Neodiprion lecontei: one gene and its partners. The main gene of each other region encodes a partner of the protein of the gene in region 2 in a complex. Links are inferred from orthologs where the notes say so. Each region holds a gene or a part of one and is shown on either strand. Other genes may lie near its edges.

Region 1 (7,746 bases), on a different chromosome or scaffold from region 2:
ATATTAATACATGTATATGTACGTTATAGAAAATAGGAGTTTTTATTGAGTGTTTCTACATGAAATTGAATTACATAAATGTTGGCTGTTACATAACAAACTCTGTGAAAATATTGTTTTACGATATCATTTTATTGTTGTAATGCAATCTGTACAATTTCGAGCAAACAACTGAGGTAATTACTTCATTTGCTGATGTACGCAAAAAATAACTGGAACGTTTATTTCGTTCGGTAACAATATAATTATAATAGAAGTATTCGGAAAGATTCTACAAGAATATTTCAACCCCACGGAACTAGACGAACAGATCGTTTTCTTATAAGACAATATGTGTCAATAAAGCGAGTATAATTCAATAATGCTGTGCTGTATCTTACGATTTTTTCTTAAACTTATATTTTTCTGCCAACATTAGGTTGCGCAAATTACACAATAAGCATTATGGTGCCGTTGATAGAATCATTGAAAATTTGTCACAGACACGAGTCCATTTATAGAAGGGAACGGAGATTAACCATATAAATAAAAGAAGAAGGAAACTACAGTGGAAGACAAACAAAGAGTGCAAGAAAATTTTTTCGGAAAACTGGATAATTACGTGACGTTCCAGCCATGGATGGAGAAAGATTAAATAAGGACGTTTTCTCCAGCAATCGCAATATTTCTTATAGCCTCCGCTATAAGGAGAGAGGTACTGTCTAATAACGATTGTGCATGTTATGTTTCGATTTATAAATCAAGCAAGACGTAATTTGTACAAATTGTTCTCACTTTTATTTTGAATATCCGTTTAAAATTTTAGGCTATTGTCTAAATCATGCCGGAGTTATTATACTTTTAATTTTTCGTGATCTTACACTGATTCTTATGGAAAACAGTTAGGCATTTAAAATAAAAGTGAGAACAATTTGTATAATTTTCATTGACCTAGCACTATTTTGATTCACACGCCTATACATCCTTAAATAATTTAATTGGATCTTTTAATCGTTTTATTTAATCGGACATACTTTAGTAAATTCCACAGGTCCTGGTGACACAAGTCCAACAGTCGAGTTATGAGCTTGATGGGTCAGTATTATTTTATTAGCATATAATGGCAAACAAAGAAAGTAAATGTACAAATATCCTTGTCTACTTTCAAGAACCTGAAATTAAATTTCATGTATAGGACACTACGCAAATACAGTAGAAATTTTTTTCCATTAGAATTAAATTAAGTGGTTATTCTTCTCTAATTATGGAAAATATTGTAAAACCTCCCTGCTGTAAAATCATGCTATTGAAATGAGAGTAACTCTTCAATTCATAATTCAAATCATTAGAGCCAACGATAGGAAGATGCTTCAAAAAAATATAATTCTTACTATTACGTGAGATAAATTCGTCATATATTTAGTAACTAGTCGAGAAAAACGCAAATTTAAAAAAGCACAAAAGTCATGATTTATTAACAAAGTGTCTAATAATTGTAGTACAAGGTGCGTGCGTTGACTGAAGACTATAAGTCTTCAGACAACGGTGCGTGTAAATACTTGGTTATACATAAATAAACATATACAAGAGTGGTATCAATCTGTAAAAGCGGAGTTTGATAGTTCAATCTTATCCAAATTTCAAATATCTGTACATGATATAGGTATAGTACCGTGATTACTATCATTCAAATAAATTGCGCGCAAGTGACGTCACTGACGAGTAAGCAGTTCGATTGCTCGGGGATATTCATTATAACAAAACGACGCCGTAGACCTGACGAACGATTACAGAGCGCAAGCGTGCTTTGCGAGCCAATCATATCACAGAGTTGATCGAACGGCCAATTAACAGCTGGGAGTTTATTTCTGGTCGAATAATACATAGAATATCACTTTCGTGTGTGCGTGTTGTATGATAGAACTTCCGACTGTGTATTAGCCAGTGTTATTTGGGGTTATGTTTCTTAATTTGTACTAATTCTTTAAATAAACAAATTATCAAAATGTCCTTTGGTACTGGATTTGGGACTTCTACCCCCTCAGCAACACCAAATTTTGGATTTGGGGCGCAAGCTTCAGGCACAGCCACAGCAGCGAAACCGAGTAAGTATGAACTAGAACTTGGTGTATTTTCAAACAATAACCTAAATGACTACAAATTCATAACAATAAATTTTACTTATTAGTTCTAAATTCGCTGATGTGATCGGCACGAAAAAAGTATCTACGTTCTTACGAATTGCACTACGATGTGTTTAAGGCAGTAGAGAGCGATCGAATTGTCTGGGTAGTTTAAGCTTTACCAAAGATTGACCACGACACTCCGCTCTTTCTAGTTAATATGACATTTTTTATTCCAAATCCTAGCTCAGTCATAATCTCCAACCTATAAAATCATCCTCAGAGTATGAAACATCTATTGCGTTAGGTTACTTCTTGAGCAATTGATCCGACGACCGAGAATTCATATGTTTCACTGATGCTTCTGAATTCTTTGTTGATTGTCCGAGATCCATATCTTCTCCTGGGCACTCTTCGTCGCACGTCTCTTGATTTCTACCTTGCACTGTGCAAAAACCTTTCCTCCTAAGTCTGGCAAGTATGCAGGCAAGAACGCAGCATACTAGCACTAGAATTCCTAAGAGCAATCCCAAAACTATCAATATCGTTTGACTCGATTCGTCTGAAGATCCATTTTGACCAGATGCAATGGATTGCATGGTGGTGGTAGTCTGAGTAGTAACAATCGGCGTGGTGCTTTCAGATAGTTCATGCAGTATAGTGGACATATCGCCTATAGTATCCTGGAAATAAAATAATAAAGTACCAAATATTGTAATATTGAGTCTGAGAACAAAGCAAAAAATCTTCATCACATCAGTATTGCACACAAGTTATTATGTATATATATGTGTGTTTCATCAACTTTGGTTAGTTACAATGAGCAAGGAGTGCGGAATTTCTGACAATGACGGTAATCGAATATGTATAAAGGGAACTTTAAATTACTCCAAATGATTCCCCTGTGGTTCCCAGTTCATTTTCAAACTCCGTAACTTCGTCAACAGGACTAGTACTCACTTGGCGTGGATAGGGATGGGTGTGTTCATCGTATGAGTTATGATTTAGTTGCTTTGGATTAGAATTGGAAGCATGGTAAAGTATTTCCATTATTCTTATTGCGTTGCAATGGGTGAATGAGAAACTGAGGTAATTTTATGTTAATTGTATTGTAAAGTCAACAAACACATTGTTAATCTACATGGTATCCAAATTTTGAATCAGCTTAGTTGATTATAAAGCATGATAATAGTAGTACAATATTGATATACGTACCAGCCGTTGGTGTTTTACGTTTTTGGAAAAGCTCATCTTGATTTGCGAAAAATAAATAGTCACACTACGTTTACCTTCACTGACAGCTTTATAGTCATTAAACCCTGTTGATGCTTGAGCAGCCGAGAATCCCTCAAAGCTGGAACAAGGAAAGTATCAGCTTCCGACAACTTGTTGAAGTCACATTTAACCGGATGTTCGTGGTCGGTTTTTCCCACCACAGAGATACGTAGAAATGATGAAAGAAACATTATATCGTAGGCAAATCTTCGTCTTTTGTGCTACTTTATATTTTTCGCGATACATAATTTTAATAGATAGGAAACCAGTCTTACCAAATATTGTGTAAGAATTATACTTCATCAATCTAGTCAGAATTACAATTCGATAAATAGAACTTCAGAAGAAAATTAATTTCATGTTTCTTGACATCAAAAACTTGGTCACGTTTTGACATTTCCCCTAGAAATCTGTCTACATATTGAAATTGTTAGACACACCTGGTTGTCTTTTGTCGAGCGCTGATTTTTATTACCACGTCATCCATGATTTCTGGGGAAAACATCTGACGGCTTGGTACAATTGCCTTTATAGCGAACATTTGATCTTTGAACTCTGATGTAAATCGGAAATTTTCATAATACACTGGAATAAAAGTTCAAGGATGCGGTTGACACTTCAGAATATTACATTGCCTCAGATGAGTTGCTTTTTGCATATACATGAGACCCGGTCTATTCAATTTCCGAATAGTGAACATAATTTTATTATCTGCAACTAGGGCACAATGCTAAAATTCTTACATGACAAGTTTGAAAGATTTAAGAAATGGGGTATTTATTCACTATGAATTTAATTTCTGTACCAAGTCCATTAAATAATACAATACGCTCACACCCGCCAACACATCAAACTATTGAATAATGTGTAAAAAGAGACAGCAGAATTATCACACTTGTAATTTAGAAATATAGTCAAGTAATAATTTGTTTTTTAATTGAAAAAAGTTTGCTTCGAAGAGTAATTCATTTTATTTATATTATCTTAGCTGGTTTTGGTACACCATCGTTTGGATTCGGCACTCCGGCTACATCAGCACCAGCTCTTGGAGGATTTGGTACCCCTGCAACACAGGCACCTGCCTTTGGAACTAGCGGTGGCTTTGGTACATCAACAGTCGGAGGATTTGGAACACCAGCCACGAGTACGATAACATTTGGCACTCCAGGTTCATCTTTCGGGTTTGGGACAGGTGCAGGATTTGGTGGTACGCCAGCAACTTCATCTACGGCATTCAGTGGATTTGGGACAACTGCGACTACAAGTTCAACAGGTTTCGGTGGATTTGGTTCGTTCCCAACCATGGCGACATCTTCAGCACCGAGCTTATTTGGTGGCTTTAGCACATCAGGCACAACAACAACAGGATTCGGCACAACAGGATTTGGTGGATTTGGTGCTAAGCCAGCTGCAATAAATACAACAGGCTTCAGCAGCTTTGGAACAGGTTAACTGAAATCCGAATTTGGAAAAAATATTAGAAATAATATATTTTCCAAGCACCCTGGAACTCTTGTACTAATCCAATCTTAATGCATTCAAACGCTAGAGGAGAAAGGACAGATAATTATATTTTAATTGCCCGTACTTGAAATATCTTCACCACTATGAGAGACATGATTTTACCTAAGACGTTATTTTTCAGGTTCTGGTCTTACTGGGTTAGGAACAACTCTTACCCAACCGCAACAACAGCAGCAACAGCAACAACCGCAGCAACAATCTGTGAATGCGATATCGGAAGCACTTTATAATGCAGTATTTAACTGCCAACTTTTTAATGACGAACGTGATAATACCATAGCAAGATGGAACTTGATCCAAGCATTATGGGGTACTGGAAAAGCTTACTACTCGTCGGTGGCACCTCCTATAGATTTGACACAAGAAAATCCTTTGTGTAGATTCAAAGCTATTGGTTATAGCTGTATGCCAGATGCAGATAACAATGATGGACTGGTCGTTATTTGTTTCAACAAAAAGGAACAGGAATTAAAAGATGGAAAACAGACGTTGATTACATCACTCAACACCATTCTCGGAAATAAACCAAATTTAACATTAACTGTTGATACTATAAAATCGACAGATGACAATAAAAGTCACGTGACAATCTGCGTATCTGAAAAAGGTGTGACAGGATTGTCTAGGAAAATTCCGGCAAACGAGTTAGTTAGTTTCTTTACACAGACTATGCAAAAACAACAGCTGGCCCAAATGGGCGTGGAAAACATTTTTCCACAGGTTAAATTAGACCCTAGTCAACTGAAGGAATATTTGGATAACCCACCGTCGTCTATTGATCCCAGATTATGGAAGCAAGCGCAATTAGATAATCCAAACCCAGAGAAATATATTCCAGTGCCAATGATTGGGTTCAATCAAGTTAAATATAGATTGAAATGCCAAGAAGAAGAAACAGCCAAGCATAGAGCATTTCTAGACTTGGCTGCAGAAAGAATTCAAAGTTTACAGAGACAACACACTGCAACTCAAGCAAGATTGAAAGAACATCGACGAAATTTACTCGAGCTGCAACACCGAGTTTTACAGGTGAAGAGGATCTTGATAATTTTATTTCATTCTACTTCTACGCACTGGGTGGGCCAAAAAAACCGGACCGAGTTAAAACGTGAATAAATTTCGAACGCATCGACCAATTTTCGAAACTCTTTTTACTCGAAATTAAAAACATAAACCTTTCGTTTTGTGTTCGGAAATCTAGAAAATCTTCATCCTTGCTGAGATACACGATTTTGAAAAACAGATTTTGCAAAATTCGCTGGGAGGATAAAAAAAAATTATTATTAAAGAATGTTTAGCCTAATTTTCATCTTAAATTGTGATTTGAAGTTCAAATTTTCAAACGCGAAACAAATTGTTTATTGTCCTAATTTCAAGCAAAAAAGAAAATTTTCATAATAAAGTCAATGCATTCGGATTTTATTCACGTCTAAATTTGGTGCGATTTTTTTTTACTTACCCCGTATACTGGGCCATTTCATTTGGATTCGTCAAATTTTTTTTACCATCATACTGCTTTACTTAATGTAATAATACGTTTCATAAATGAATTTCTAGGTGCTGGTTCGTCAAGAAATAACGCGCAAGGTTGGGTTAGCATTACAACCTGAAGAAGAAGTGCTAACAAATAGGTTTGAAGCAATGCATTCGCAAATAAGTGCTCCGACACAGTTTAAGGGAAGAATCAGTGAAATGCTTTCACAACTGAGAATGAGACGGCATATGGACTCTCAAAACCACGAACGATATACTATGGATCCTATTGCCCAAGACGATATTAAAACCGTGAGTATATTTCATATCTTTAGTACAAAACTTAGTTTACTCTTCCTAATTATGAAGTTATCACAATTGCAAGACCAGAGTCAATTTTGTGGTCAACATTTAAAACTAATTTTTTGTTTTTAACAAAACTGATCAGTATCAGCTTAGGATGTACGAGACAAGTGTATCCTTACATTGCTTTACATTCGCTAATATCAATTAATATGTATTGTCCTTCGTTGCAGTATTTAACTATGGAACAGCAAGGAATGTCTCAACTCATTTCTACAATCAACGCTGATCTGGAGTGCCTGAAAATAATTAAGGATGGCATGTCCGATCTCCTCACGAGTCACAGCATCTCTTGAAATACAGCGTATCGTTAATTATCGTCAAGTCTTTTGAAAAAAAATGCACCGGTCATGCAATTTCCAAGTTGAGATGGTGGAAACGAGGGGAAGTGGCTTTCTATCTATTACGGACAATTATGTAATAAACTTCTTTGAAACTGCTGTAATTTACCGTACTTGATTCGTAATAATGCCGGACATCCGTCAGCAGTGAATTTCCCTCCCTGTTTTGAAAGTGAATTCATTGCTTAAGCAAAGACTCGCCACATTTATTGAACCGTCGCATACATAACCACATCCAATTCATAAATGGATATTTTCCACGCCTTATAAATGTATCGGATGTGTGTTGATGATGAATAATTGAATCAGCGTAAATCCCTTGTACGATGTGTGTAAAAGTTGGTATATCAACTATCATTTTGATATATCACACTGTAGTGGGTACGTGACTGACAAAACCGTCCCGCTTTATAAAAATTTTTCTTGCAATGATGAAGTATCATGTTCATATTCAGACTACTTTGATGTCGTAAATCAAAATGTTACTCATCAAAATTTAAAAGACATTTATCAAAGTCTGCCACATTTATATGAATATACGTGTGTGTACAGCTATGATGAAGCGACTATTTACAGCTATTTGAAATAGCAGAATTTACAATACATTTCAGAAACTGTTGAAGCGATTCTATTGAAACTCTAATCATTTCGAAATGAGGAAAACCGCC
Region 2 (4,976 bases):
AGTGGGATCGTTTGAAAGTTTCTTATGATGCTCTGCTTCTGTCAGGTTTTGGTCGAAACTAAAATTATACACAAAAGTATCTTATAGATGTGTGTAAACTGAAAATGGATAACTTCTGAATACTTGAATGCATTGAACTGCTGATAAAACCTAAAAATTTCAGACGCACTTGAAGTTCTCGATTTTGTGTACTTTATAACTAATATTAAGATACTAAAGAGTTTAATTACATAGTAAGGTCTTTTAATTACTATTTGCTAATTCTTTAGTTACCACTTTCTCACTTTACTCACTTCAATATTGCCTGTGCAACTTCGGGGATAGATTTTTTTGGTCCATCACCCTGCTCTTTAAGAGACAGAGCGGCAAATCTTTCAAGAGCTGAAATGTATAGCATCCAGAAAGTCCAATCAGAAGACTTGCTGTCTTTGCACTTTCCAAACAATTCACAAATTGTTTGATACCATGAGATATTATCCCTAAAGGTAAAGGTTGATTCCACACCCATGGCATGTTTGTATCCATCCTCGAGTCTATTTTTCACCATGTAATGGTGCAATAATTTGACACGCAATGTTACATCTTTTGGTCTGGCTGACAATTCAGCTGGAAAAATAATTCACAATGTTGAGAATTGCGAAAAACAGGCTTTTAAGCAGTGAACTGGAATTGTTATTGTGAATCATAATAACTTTCCATTGCAGACATTTCAATTAAAACTATACTAGTGACTTGATTCATTGTAAAAAAATGATTCAATGCAAAAACCTTAATTTCAAATACTTGTAATAGCACATACAACTAGTTTGTGTGAAAATTTATAGGACAGACTTAGTAAGAAGTACGCAATTTTCGAAATTTTAAGACATTCCTACAGCAAAGAAAAATGAATTAAATGGAATCTTAGTAGTAGGATTCACATAATTACAATTTATACAATAAACTTACATGCTATAAGTGCTTCAAGATCTTCGGCATTATCATTTGGTCTATCTACAGTTAGTAGTTTTTCTTTCAGCTGAAATACGACAGGATGATGCGGGAACTGTTTGTCTGCTCTTTCCAACCAATATCTGGCTCTGCTGACATCCATCCCTACGTCTGTGTCTGCCAGAATCTCACAAACTGTTTCATAAAACGAACATGTACATTAAGCTAAATACAAATGATGTCAGAAATATTATTTATAGCAATAAACCTATAGTTAAATTAATTTCGAGCAGAAAAATTTCTAGTCCTAAAACTACAGCTATTCTTTTTTGGTGAGTGAAACAGATTAACCCACCTTTCAAGACTAGATCGTCTTGTTTGCCATCAATTTCAAGGGAGCACTTGTATTTTGCTAACGCAGCTTCTTTCTGACCAAGAGCCTCGAGGGTTTGACCTAGTAGTTTATGTGCGTTAGCTGAATCTTCTCGCACTTCTAGGTAACATGACACGTATCTCCTTGCGGATTCGTAATCACCAACTTGGTAATAAAGTTTAGCAATATTGTAACATCTCAGGTTCCTCTGTAATTTATATTAAATTTTTACCTTGGAGATAATGAACTCTAAAACCTAAACTCGTAAGAGTTGGGTGAAGGAAACCTAGGGGTGGTCAGCAAGTTTTTATAATGATGCTCTAACTTTTATTTTAAATAAAGTAAAAAATACGACTTTAAAGATATGTTTGAGTTAAATAAAAACGACGATAAATTATCTGGAATTATAAGCTTAAAAAGTGTAAAAGAATTTTCCTGATCAAAAATTGTATCCTAACCACCTTAGCAGCCATTTCAAACAACTTAATTCCTAGGTTTAAAGACTGTGTTGTGGTTTTAGATAGCCATAAGTATGATAATTCATTTTAATAAAGCTCTTCATTTTTAAATTTTATATACAAGTTAACACTACTAATACCTCAAGTTGAGTAAAAGGTTAAGAAGGCCAGCAGAAAATATGATGTCTTTACAACCCTCTAGGAAAAAACCTTCCACTTGAGTGTAAATTTGCACCGTTAACTTTTTTCTTATGGCAATTTAATATTATTTATTAGTTACGGGTATGAATTTACACCCAAACTGTTTTTTTTTTTAATTTTATCCAAGGGAAATATAGACCAAGGTTTTTTTGTCGTTGACAGCCCCAACCGAAATCATTCGTCTTCTACGCGGACTCGTCTCATATGCGGGTAAGCAAGGCAAACACCCTGAAATACTGTCTCGGAATTGGGGGTCGTCTTATATGCGGGGTGGGCTTAGACTCCGAACGATAAGGTAATTTAAGATACATGTATTATATATATTTGAAGGTAGAAGCTTTTTGAAGAGTACATTGGCAATTGTCTCTTATTGGATAAAAAAGTCAATGATGAACAAAGAGATAATGAAGTAATAACAATCCAGCGTGCGATGGATTGTCCAAGAATAATCAGGAAACCGCAAAACATTGGTTAGCCCGGTTCTGGAATGGCATGAGAGATGCAAATCATATTATGTGTGGATAACAGGTTATGTGTAGATAAGTGTGAGTGCGTGTTATATCTACAGAGCTTCCGAGCCAGTACTTAAGGCCTTGGAATGAATAATAATATATAAATATGCGACATTGTGCAAGTCGATGACTAAAAATAAATTGAAAATAGCTAGATCATAAGCTGGCATGAGAAGATGATGTGGTTCGGTAGAATTGATACAGGAATTAGATCGAAATGCAGGGATCACTTCTGGCGGGACGATCGACATTTGCATGTGCATGTACGGTGACTCGGTGGTACTCATCATACACCGCGTAACGTTTTCATACGAGAATAACCTCCTACCTCATTTTCCGTCTTCAGCTTTCGTAAAATATCTTGCACGTGGCGATCAACGCTCTTCTTATCGTGGAACATGATTCCACAATATTTCGAATTCCTTTTGCTGTTCTTGCCGCACAGTTAAAGGATGAAAAATATCGTTAAGACGAACCACCGCCGCCTCACCGTGGACATCACTATTCAAACGAACTTCTTTACGACAGTTGTACCAACCAACTCTAAAATCAAGCTTACAGCCGAGTCCGTGCTTACAGCACAGGAAACACAGTAACCAGGTTTCCGTCGGCTATAGCATAGACAACGGCGTAGAGTAGGTCAAGCGAGAAACAGGCATAAAAAACATATTCAAAACCATCCTTATATAGATCACAAATAATGATAAGATGTACAATCAATTTAGAATTACATTTTGCACTAATTTTTTTGGTTGTTTCGATTATTAAAAATAAGTATTAAATATTGATTTCATTCTGGTTTTAAAGTCACGCAAGACGTGGCAACGCCGCACTACCGTCGTTTGTTTACGTCGCTGTGTGGTCGTCCAGAGATTATTGGGTCCTCTGCTTCAAAGGTTGCAGTTTAGCTGCTCGACCACGCTCGAATTTACTCGAACGCCTTGTTCACTATGCTCGAACGGTGGCTATCACTGATCTCTATAGTGTCATATAGAGATCAGTGGTGGTTATCCTGCTCAAATTTGTGCGCAATTCCCGCATACTTTGTCGAGTGCTCAGTGACCGATTCCTGCCGGTTCCGGATAAAAAAAATCCCTCAAATTGCCTTACGACACATGCACACGCGATTCTTTGTACGACTGCGTAAAGCGTGGTGTGGCGAAGGTATCCAGTCGGCATAAAGTCACGTAATGTGCATTCAATTTCTTATTCGATAATTTTTTTATTTTTTTTTTGCACAACTTACTAACCCCAAATTTTCACGCATGATGGAAGTATTTTTAACGTGTTGGTCTGAACATAAGCCTAAACTGAAGGCCAAAAGTGTTCAACTGGCATTTGCAAATCTATTTTTCATTTGAGAGATCATTTAAACCTTGAAATTTTTCATACGTAGTGTATTTATTATGACTGAAGTCGTCTGACATATTACAATGAAGATAATTTCTAATCGTGACCCTCGTGATATACGTTCCGTACCGTCACTTAGGTTTCTAGATCTACTACATGTACGACAATAAATGTAATAAAAGTAAATGAAGCAAAATCTATTGTGTTATTAGATTTAGATCTATAGTTTTTAATTTATTATTGTGCTCCGCCAGACCCAGGCATAGAGCATTCATACCTAGGAGGCAACCGTTTCTGGTTAGTAACGGCAGCTTATTCTACAAACTGAATCGAGTGTCGATTTTATAAATGTTCTGATCAAACGGATCATTCTATATTTGAAACGAATGTATTTTTATGTTCTGTGTTTTCTGCAATAAACTTGACCAACGATTATTTAATCGGTTAAAATTTCAGTTGCACAAAATTGACCCAATCTTTCGTTTGTGACAGTTTCCAGTTGAGGCTAGGACGGTTAGAGAAACTTGTGGTTATAACCAAAGCAAAGAATTGTTAAAACAGCGCTTTAAAATTAAAAATACGAAGCCTTAACTTGTAGTGTGGTAACGGAAATTTTTGAGAAACTTGTACATTCATATAGGTAGAATGGAAGGGAACGAAAATAATACCTTAGACGTTTTATATCGCAGTAATAATTTCTTAGTAGTAAATAAGCCATATGATTTGGTTATAAACAGCAATAACCGGAATTATAAAGTAATTCATTTAATTATTAAATATAATGGATAACATTCAGATAATAAATATAACGTGGTTACGGTCTATTCACAGATTTGTACAATTTTTAGTCCACCTTACAAACGGAAATACAAATGATGTTCCCTGAACTGGTCAATCCAGAGCTACGGCACGAATTTCATTTCGTTCATCGACTTGATTATGCTACAAGCGGAGTTATTTGCTTGGCTCTCAATAAGCAGGCTGCCAAAGCAGCCACCACTGCCTTTGAAAGTAGAAAAGCAAAGAAATACTATTTAGCTCTAGTCCATGGACATATAAACAAAAGTCATGTTATCATTTCGGAAACAATTGGTTAGCTTCCTCAATAATTACCTGCAAACTGTTTGAAACTGCTGTTAAACAAAATAAAAA
Region 3 (4,966 bases), about 3.2 Mb from region 2:
AAAGATGTCAATATTCTAGTTTCCGAAAATCTTAGTATTATTACTATTTACTATTTTTTTTTGGGATTTATATTTCTCAAAGAGGAATGTTCATCTTTACTTCAACTCCAATTTTGATGGGAAGTACGAAGCCTGTGTAGCTAATCTTTTACAGAATCTTCAGTATTTTTTCTCAGTATATGCTCAGATACAGCTGGATTCTGTTGCTCAATCTCATATATGTGCGTGTGAAATTTGTTTTTTGGCTGTCTAGCCACAGAAGAATTGAAAAATAAAGTACAAGTCCGTATTTCGAAAAATTTTCGGCCATATATCACCTAAAGTTACTGAAGAGTTACTGAAAAGTTGTTGTCAACATTGCCGTTTGCCAAAGTTTATACGAGGATGAAAAGCTTACCTTGAACTTGTCCCTTACGACCTGCTGTGTAGTCTTCTAAACGCAATTCCTCCAGAGATTTTCCTTCGTATTCCTTCATGCAAGTAATGCAATAGTGTCGAGTTGATATGGTTTGGGTAACGCCATTTTTTATCATTGTATCAGTACCAGTAAGAGGGTTAAATTTCACCACTGTACCACTCATCCCACCTGCAGTATTATTTCCAGCAAATCCTGTACAATGAAATATGATTGACAAGATTTGATGAATACCTAAATGAAATACTTTCATCAGCATCGGGTTAATTTACCAGTTGTAGCTCCAAATAAGCTGGTATTTGCAGCTGTATTGGATGGTGCAAAAAGGGACGGTGCAGTTTGTTGAGTAGGTTGCTGTGTTTGTCCAAATAATCCTGTTCCAGCTGAACTCCCAAAGCCAAACCCTGCTGGTTTAGTTCCTTGACCAAAAGCAGGGGTAGGATTGCTTGTTCCAAATAGACTGGTGTTTGCATTTTGCTGATTACCAAAGAGACCGGTGTTCGTATTTGGGTTACTGAATCCTGAAATTATGCACGATTGGATAATTTTCATTTATAATACGTAATCATATAATATTAAGTAAATTTGAAACTTCTTGTCTATTTTTTTTATCATAGCAGAAATATATGACAGATATCATATTGTAAACAGTTTCGCTAGAACTACGTTTATAACAATACAGAGTTCTTAATCATATAAAGTAAACAGAATTGATAATAGACGATTCATTTTGAGAAATTACCTCCAAATGATGACTGACTGGTGGCTGGTTGTCCAAAAGCAGGTGTTGCTGCCGTATTGCCAAATAGTCCGCCTGTCGTCGCTCCCGCAGGCTTTGCGCCGAACAGAGAATTGTTGGTACTGCCGAACACTGGTGCTGCTGTACCACCAAAACTCGTTGTTGTGATGGGTTTTCCAAATGGAGATTGACTAAATGGGCTACTCTGGGTCCCTGCACCAAACCCTCCTATATTTATTAATTTTTAAGTACAAAGGTACCAGCTCACCATTAACAGACATCAAATTATAGCATAACGTTTTATGCAGGCATCAATGAACAGAATACCATGTTTAGAATAAAATTGAAGCATGAAATTTCGATTGTTAAAACAACTATTTCTTATCAATAAGTGACAATTAATACAGCACAGACGTTCTTTATGTTGGGACGTGCAGGGCTGGTAGTTGGCCACTACTTTCACAGACTGACTCTGGCGGCAAGGGATTCAGTGTAAGTTTGCTCTAATGAAAAAATGGTTACTACGGCTTTCGTGTGGTAATTATTTGAAAAAATTGAAATTTTATTTTTATTATCACCTAACTCAACTGTTCAGGTATAATTAAGTGATAGATATATTGTCCGAGCATTGGATCAAGCATGACATGAGTTCTTACATTGTGGTAAAGAAAATATGATTGTGTTGTTTGACTGCGGTTTCATTAGGACAATTTTCATGTAATAACGTTTCAAAGAACGTTTTGCTTTGAAATTACTGACGTAAATTAAACTCATGCAAATTACATTATTGTAGTTCCAGAGCGTATCACATAATTTCAACTAAATAAAGGGAGTTATTCAAGTAACCACTTTATATTTAAGGAGAGTAACAACAACTGATTAGATCAGACTCAGTTCAAGCGAGAACAGGATAATGGATGGGTTTAAAATAAAATTAATTTAGTATTTCGTTAAAGGCACCCAATGCATTAATAAGCAGATAAGGAACAAAAAATTTATTGGTACTTACCAAATGAAGTATTAGCAGATTGTCCAAACATTTTTAATGACCGTATTTAGCACAAGGACTATCCGCAGCTTTCTAAAATGTTCAAAATTATGGCATCAATCATCAAATAAAGAAATGTATAAGTGTAAAAGGTAAATATAATTCCGAATACTTGCAACTAATATAAATGACCGTGATCATCTGATTGTTACCGCAGTAGTGACACTCATTGATATTTGTGATAAATAAAGATGCCTGGTAATTCTTCAAAATACTTGTAAGAGAAGAGATTATTTATTTCCTGATCTATTAATTCATTACGATACATACGTATTAGAAATGTTGATAAAATATGATGGTTATAAATTATTGCCAACACGTGAAATATCATCAATCAGCACTCGTGAGCCAACGATATATATACCTATATATGTATATAGAGAAAAAATATCAACGAAAAAGAATTTTGCAGTGATTGTATGCCTGTGAGTGATTCGCAAGTAGATAGCTGCATCACACTTATTACATACCTCCGACCCCGCCAACATTTACGAACAATCCTTGTTTACAAAACACATGGAAGCCGTACGTGTTCGTCATTTAATGGAAAAGACGGATAACATATTGAAAATGATGAATCTTATTCAATAGCATACAAACAATTCAGGTTATGTTAGATGCAGAAATGGCGCAATTAGAGATGTGACGAATATTTTCATTTACTTACTGCTCTGACGTATCGCACCTTGCTAATTACTCGCAATAATTACCAAAACTTAACTACTCACTAATAGAACACGGTTTGCAATAAGCACACCGCCACAATACAGAAAATCGCATTAATCACCGATTTTCCAATACTGCAGGCATGTGTTGTTACGGGATCTGCGGTGGCCTGCGTTGCGGGTGTCTGTCTATTAAGGCGGAGTCTCATTGTAACGATATGTTTACGAGACGGCGATACGGAGTCCTATCATTGGCTCCATGCGACGTCATTTTGTGAGTTATATTTATAATTTCCCCACTTCGTTACGTGAGACATCGGCAGAGGTATAAGCAACAGTGCAGTTTCTTTATCTCTCAATTGGCGAAGTAGACAATTTGCAATCGTTCCCCAGCAAAGGCTAAATTGCTCTCGCTTGCTCTAGAGTGGTAGGCTCTTCAGGGTAGAGTTAAAAGACATTCCCGCTCTATATTTGTCATTCATGTAGGTTGGGGCAGAGGGGTTGTTTACGTTCCGAAAGCATTGTTTTTCTTATGACCGCTGTGGATTTTTTTGTCTTGGATTTATTGTACAGCAACAATCCAAATTCAGCACCATCGGTTGCCATTAAAATCAGTCTAATTTAGCACCGAAAATTTTAAACAAGCAATAACTTGAGATGTTTTTCAGCGTATGCACATACATTTACAGGTATAATATTTGGGAGTGGAATGTGTAAAGAGTACATGTTCAATTAAAAGCCAATAGAATGTTATTTTAAACATTTTTTATTCAAAATATGATTACAATTGAAATAAGCACTTCAAAATGAGATATTTGAAATGGTCTCCTTACTTCAACCTTCGCTGTAAAATTATCAATTTTTTTCCCTTACATTACTGCAAACGTTAAACTATGTCTACCATACTCAAAGATATAACTAACTAAATTGTAACGTTATTAAATGAAGAACATTCTCACAGGGATGAATAAAGAGCGATGTAATAATGTATACATATTGTCAATGTGCTCTAAAGGCTTGTTAGATATATCCTTTGACGATCCAATTTTTTTTTTTAATCTTTGTCAAAAACTAGGTGGCAATAAGTGCATCCTCATATTTCGTTATTGTTGTGCTTATTTTAAAGATACACATGTTAGTGTCAATACCCATTCGAGTAATGTCATAACACTTCAACGAAAACTCTGACAGATAAATAGTAAATCGTGAAGTTTGCGGGACAACAATCAGATTTGGGATATTTTATTTCGTTTGGTCAAAGTACCGTTGCCTGATATGTAATTATTCAGGCTATACAGTTCATTAAGAACAATTGAAGAAACCGTTATACCATGTTACTATCGACTCTTTCTTCCTTGTATTTCTTTACAAACTAAAGTATCTTGTCAATAAGGAATATTCAATGAGGAGATACAGTAAGCATGGCATCTTTACCAAAAAAACGCATTCAATTCTGCTAATAATGAAGTAAAATGTAATTAATTAGGAAACATGATCATGAGATATGTACTGCATTGTTTGAAGTTAGTAATCTAACTTCTAGCTGCTTGACAAAAATAATGCAAATCAAAAATGTAACTTTCAAAAAATGACCATGAATTTATGTTTGCATTAAACTTGTGAACTTGGAGTCTTCGCGTCATGAAATAACACACTTATGACACAAAAGCGTAAGAGAACATGATTAACAGCCCAGAATGATAAAAAAATTCGATATCAATACCATACATATCTAGAGAACGTTTGTTGTTACAAAAAACCTAATTAATTTCTGCAAATTTTTTATACTTGGTTGCTATTATTATTTAGATAGAAGTGTATTTATAAGTCGATTCAATAATACATCAGATAACTGAACCTGTGAAATATTTCATGTATTGAGGTGTGAATGGCAAAACGCGAAGAATAAATACTAACAGTGCTTTTAGAATAAGAAACCGCTGGCTTAAAGGGTTAAATTAAGTAAGGTTTTGATTTCTGAACACGAGAATCAACTAGTGCAATAAACGAATTACATATGCCATAAAAATACTCTGTTTGCATAGTTCGATTAAGTTTATCGCATGTCAACTGTTCATAGAATACAAACGTACGTGACC

The links. The genes of interacting proteins can lie anywhere in the genome.
Region 1: E3 SUMO-protein ligase RanBP2 (region 2) and nuclear pore complex protein Nup54 share a complex: the UniProt entries of both Drosophila melanogaster proteins name them as parts of the nuclear pore complex. The link is inferred for Neodiprion lecontei from reciprocal best matches to the Drosophila melanogaster genes Nup358 and Nup54.
Region 3: E3 SUMO-protein ligase RanBP2 (region 2) and nuclear pore complex protein Nup98-Nup96 share a complex: the UniProt entries of both Drosophila melanogaster proteins name them as parts of the nuclear pore complex. The link is inferred for Neodiprion lecontei from reciprocal best matches to the Drosophila melanogaster genes Nup358 and Nup98-96.

The regions. Positions count from the first base shown.
Region 1 is NC_060262.1:32,774,648-32,782,393, reverse strand, and holds nuclear pore complex protein Nup54, read left to right. Parts: upstream 1-1,774; 5' UTR 1,775-1,984; coding exon 1,985-2,084; exon of another isoform or gene 2,085-2,410; coding exon of another isoform or gene 2,411-2,785; intron 2,786-3,317; coding exon of another isoform or gene 3,318-3,353; exon of another isoform or gene 3,354-3,474; intron 3,475-4,365; coding exon 4,366-4,824; intron 4,825-5,022; coding exon 5,023-5,930; intron 5,931-6,458; coding exon 6,459-6,686; intron 6,687-6,910; coding exon 6,911-7,033; 3' UTR 7,034-7,182; downstream 7,183-7,746. Other genes in the region: uncharacterized protein LOC107226633, read right to left, coding at 2,411-2,785, 3,318-3,353. UniProt on the Drosophila melanogaster protein: Component of the nuclear pore complex (NPC), a complex required for the trafficking across the nuclear envelope. Essential for the nuclear import of nuclear localization signal (NLS)-containing proteins in an importin alpha/importin beta-dependent manner.
Region 2 is NC_060263.1:26,801,356-26,806,331, reverse strand, and holds the start of E3 SUMO-protein ligase RanBP2, read right to left. Parts: upstream 3,019-4,976; 5' UTR 2,875-3,018; coding exon 2,803-2,874; intron 1,512-2,802; coding exon 1,286-1,511; intron 1,126-1,285; coding exon 949-1,125; intron 607-948; coding exon 294-606; intron 59-293; coding exon 1-58. Other genes in the region: RNA pseudouridylate synthase domain-containing protein 1, read left to right, coding at 4,470-4,580, 4,673-4,916. UniProt on the Drosophila melanogaster protein: E3 SUMO-protein ligase. Component of the nuclear pore complex (NPC), a complex required for trafficking across the nuclear envelope.
Region 3 is NC_060263.1:23,590,452-23,595,417, reverse strand, and holds the start of nuclear pore complex protein Nup98-Nup96, read right to left. Parts: upstream 3,065-4,966; 5' UTR 2,870-3,064; intron 2,824-2,869; exon of another isoform or gene 2,673-2,823; intron 2,417-2,672; exon of another isoform or gene 2,319-2,416; intron 2,236-2,318; 5' UTR 2,195-2,235; coding exon 2,164-2,194; intron 1,383-2,163; coding exon 1,158-1,382; intron 937-1,157; coding exon 688-936; intron 611-687; coding exon 398-610; intron 1-397. UniProt on the Drosophila melanogaster protein: Part of the nuclear pore complex (NPC). Required for MAD import as part of the Nup107-160 complex and required for nuclear export of Moe probably via its association with Rae1. Plays a role in nuclear mRNA export.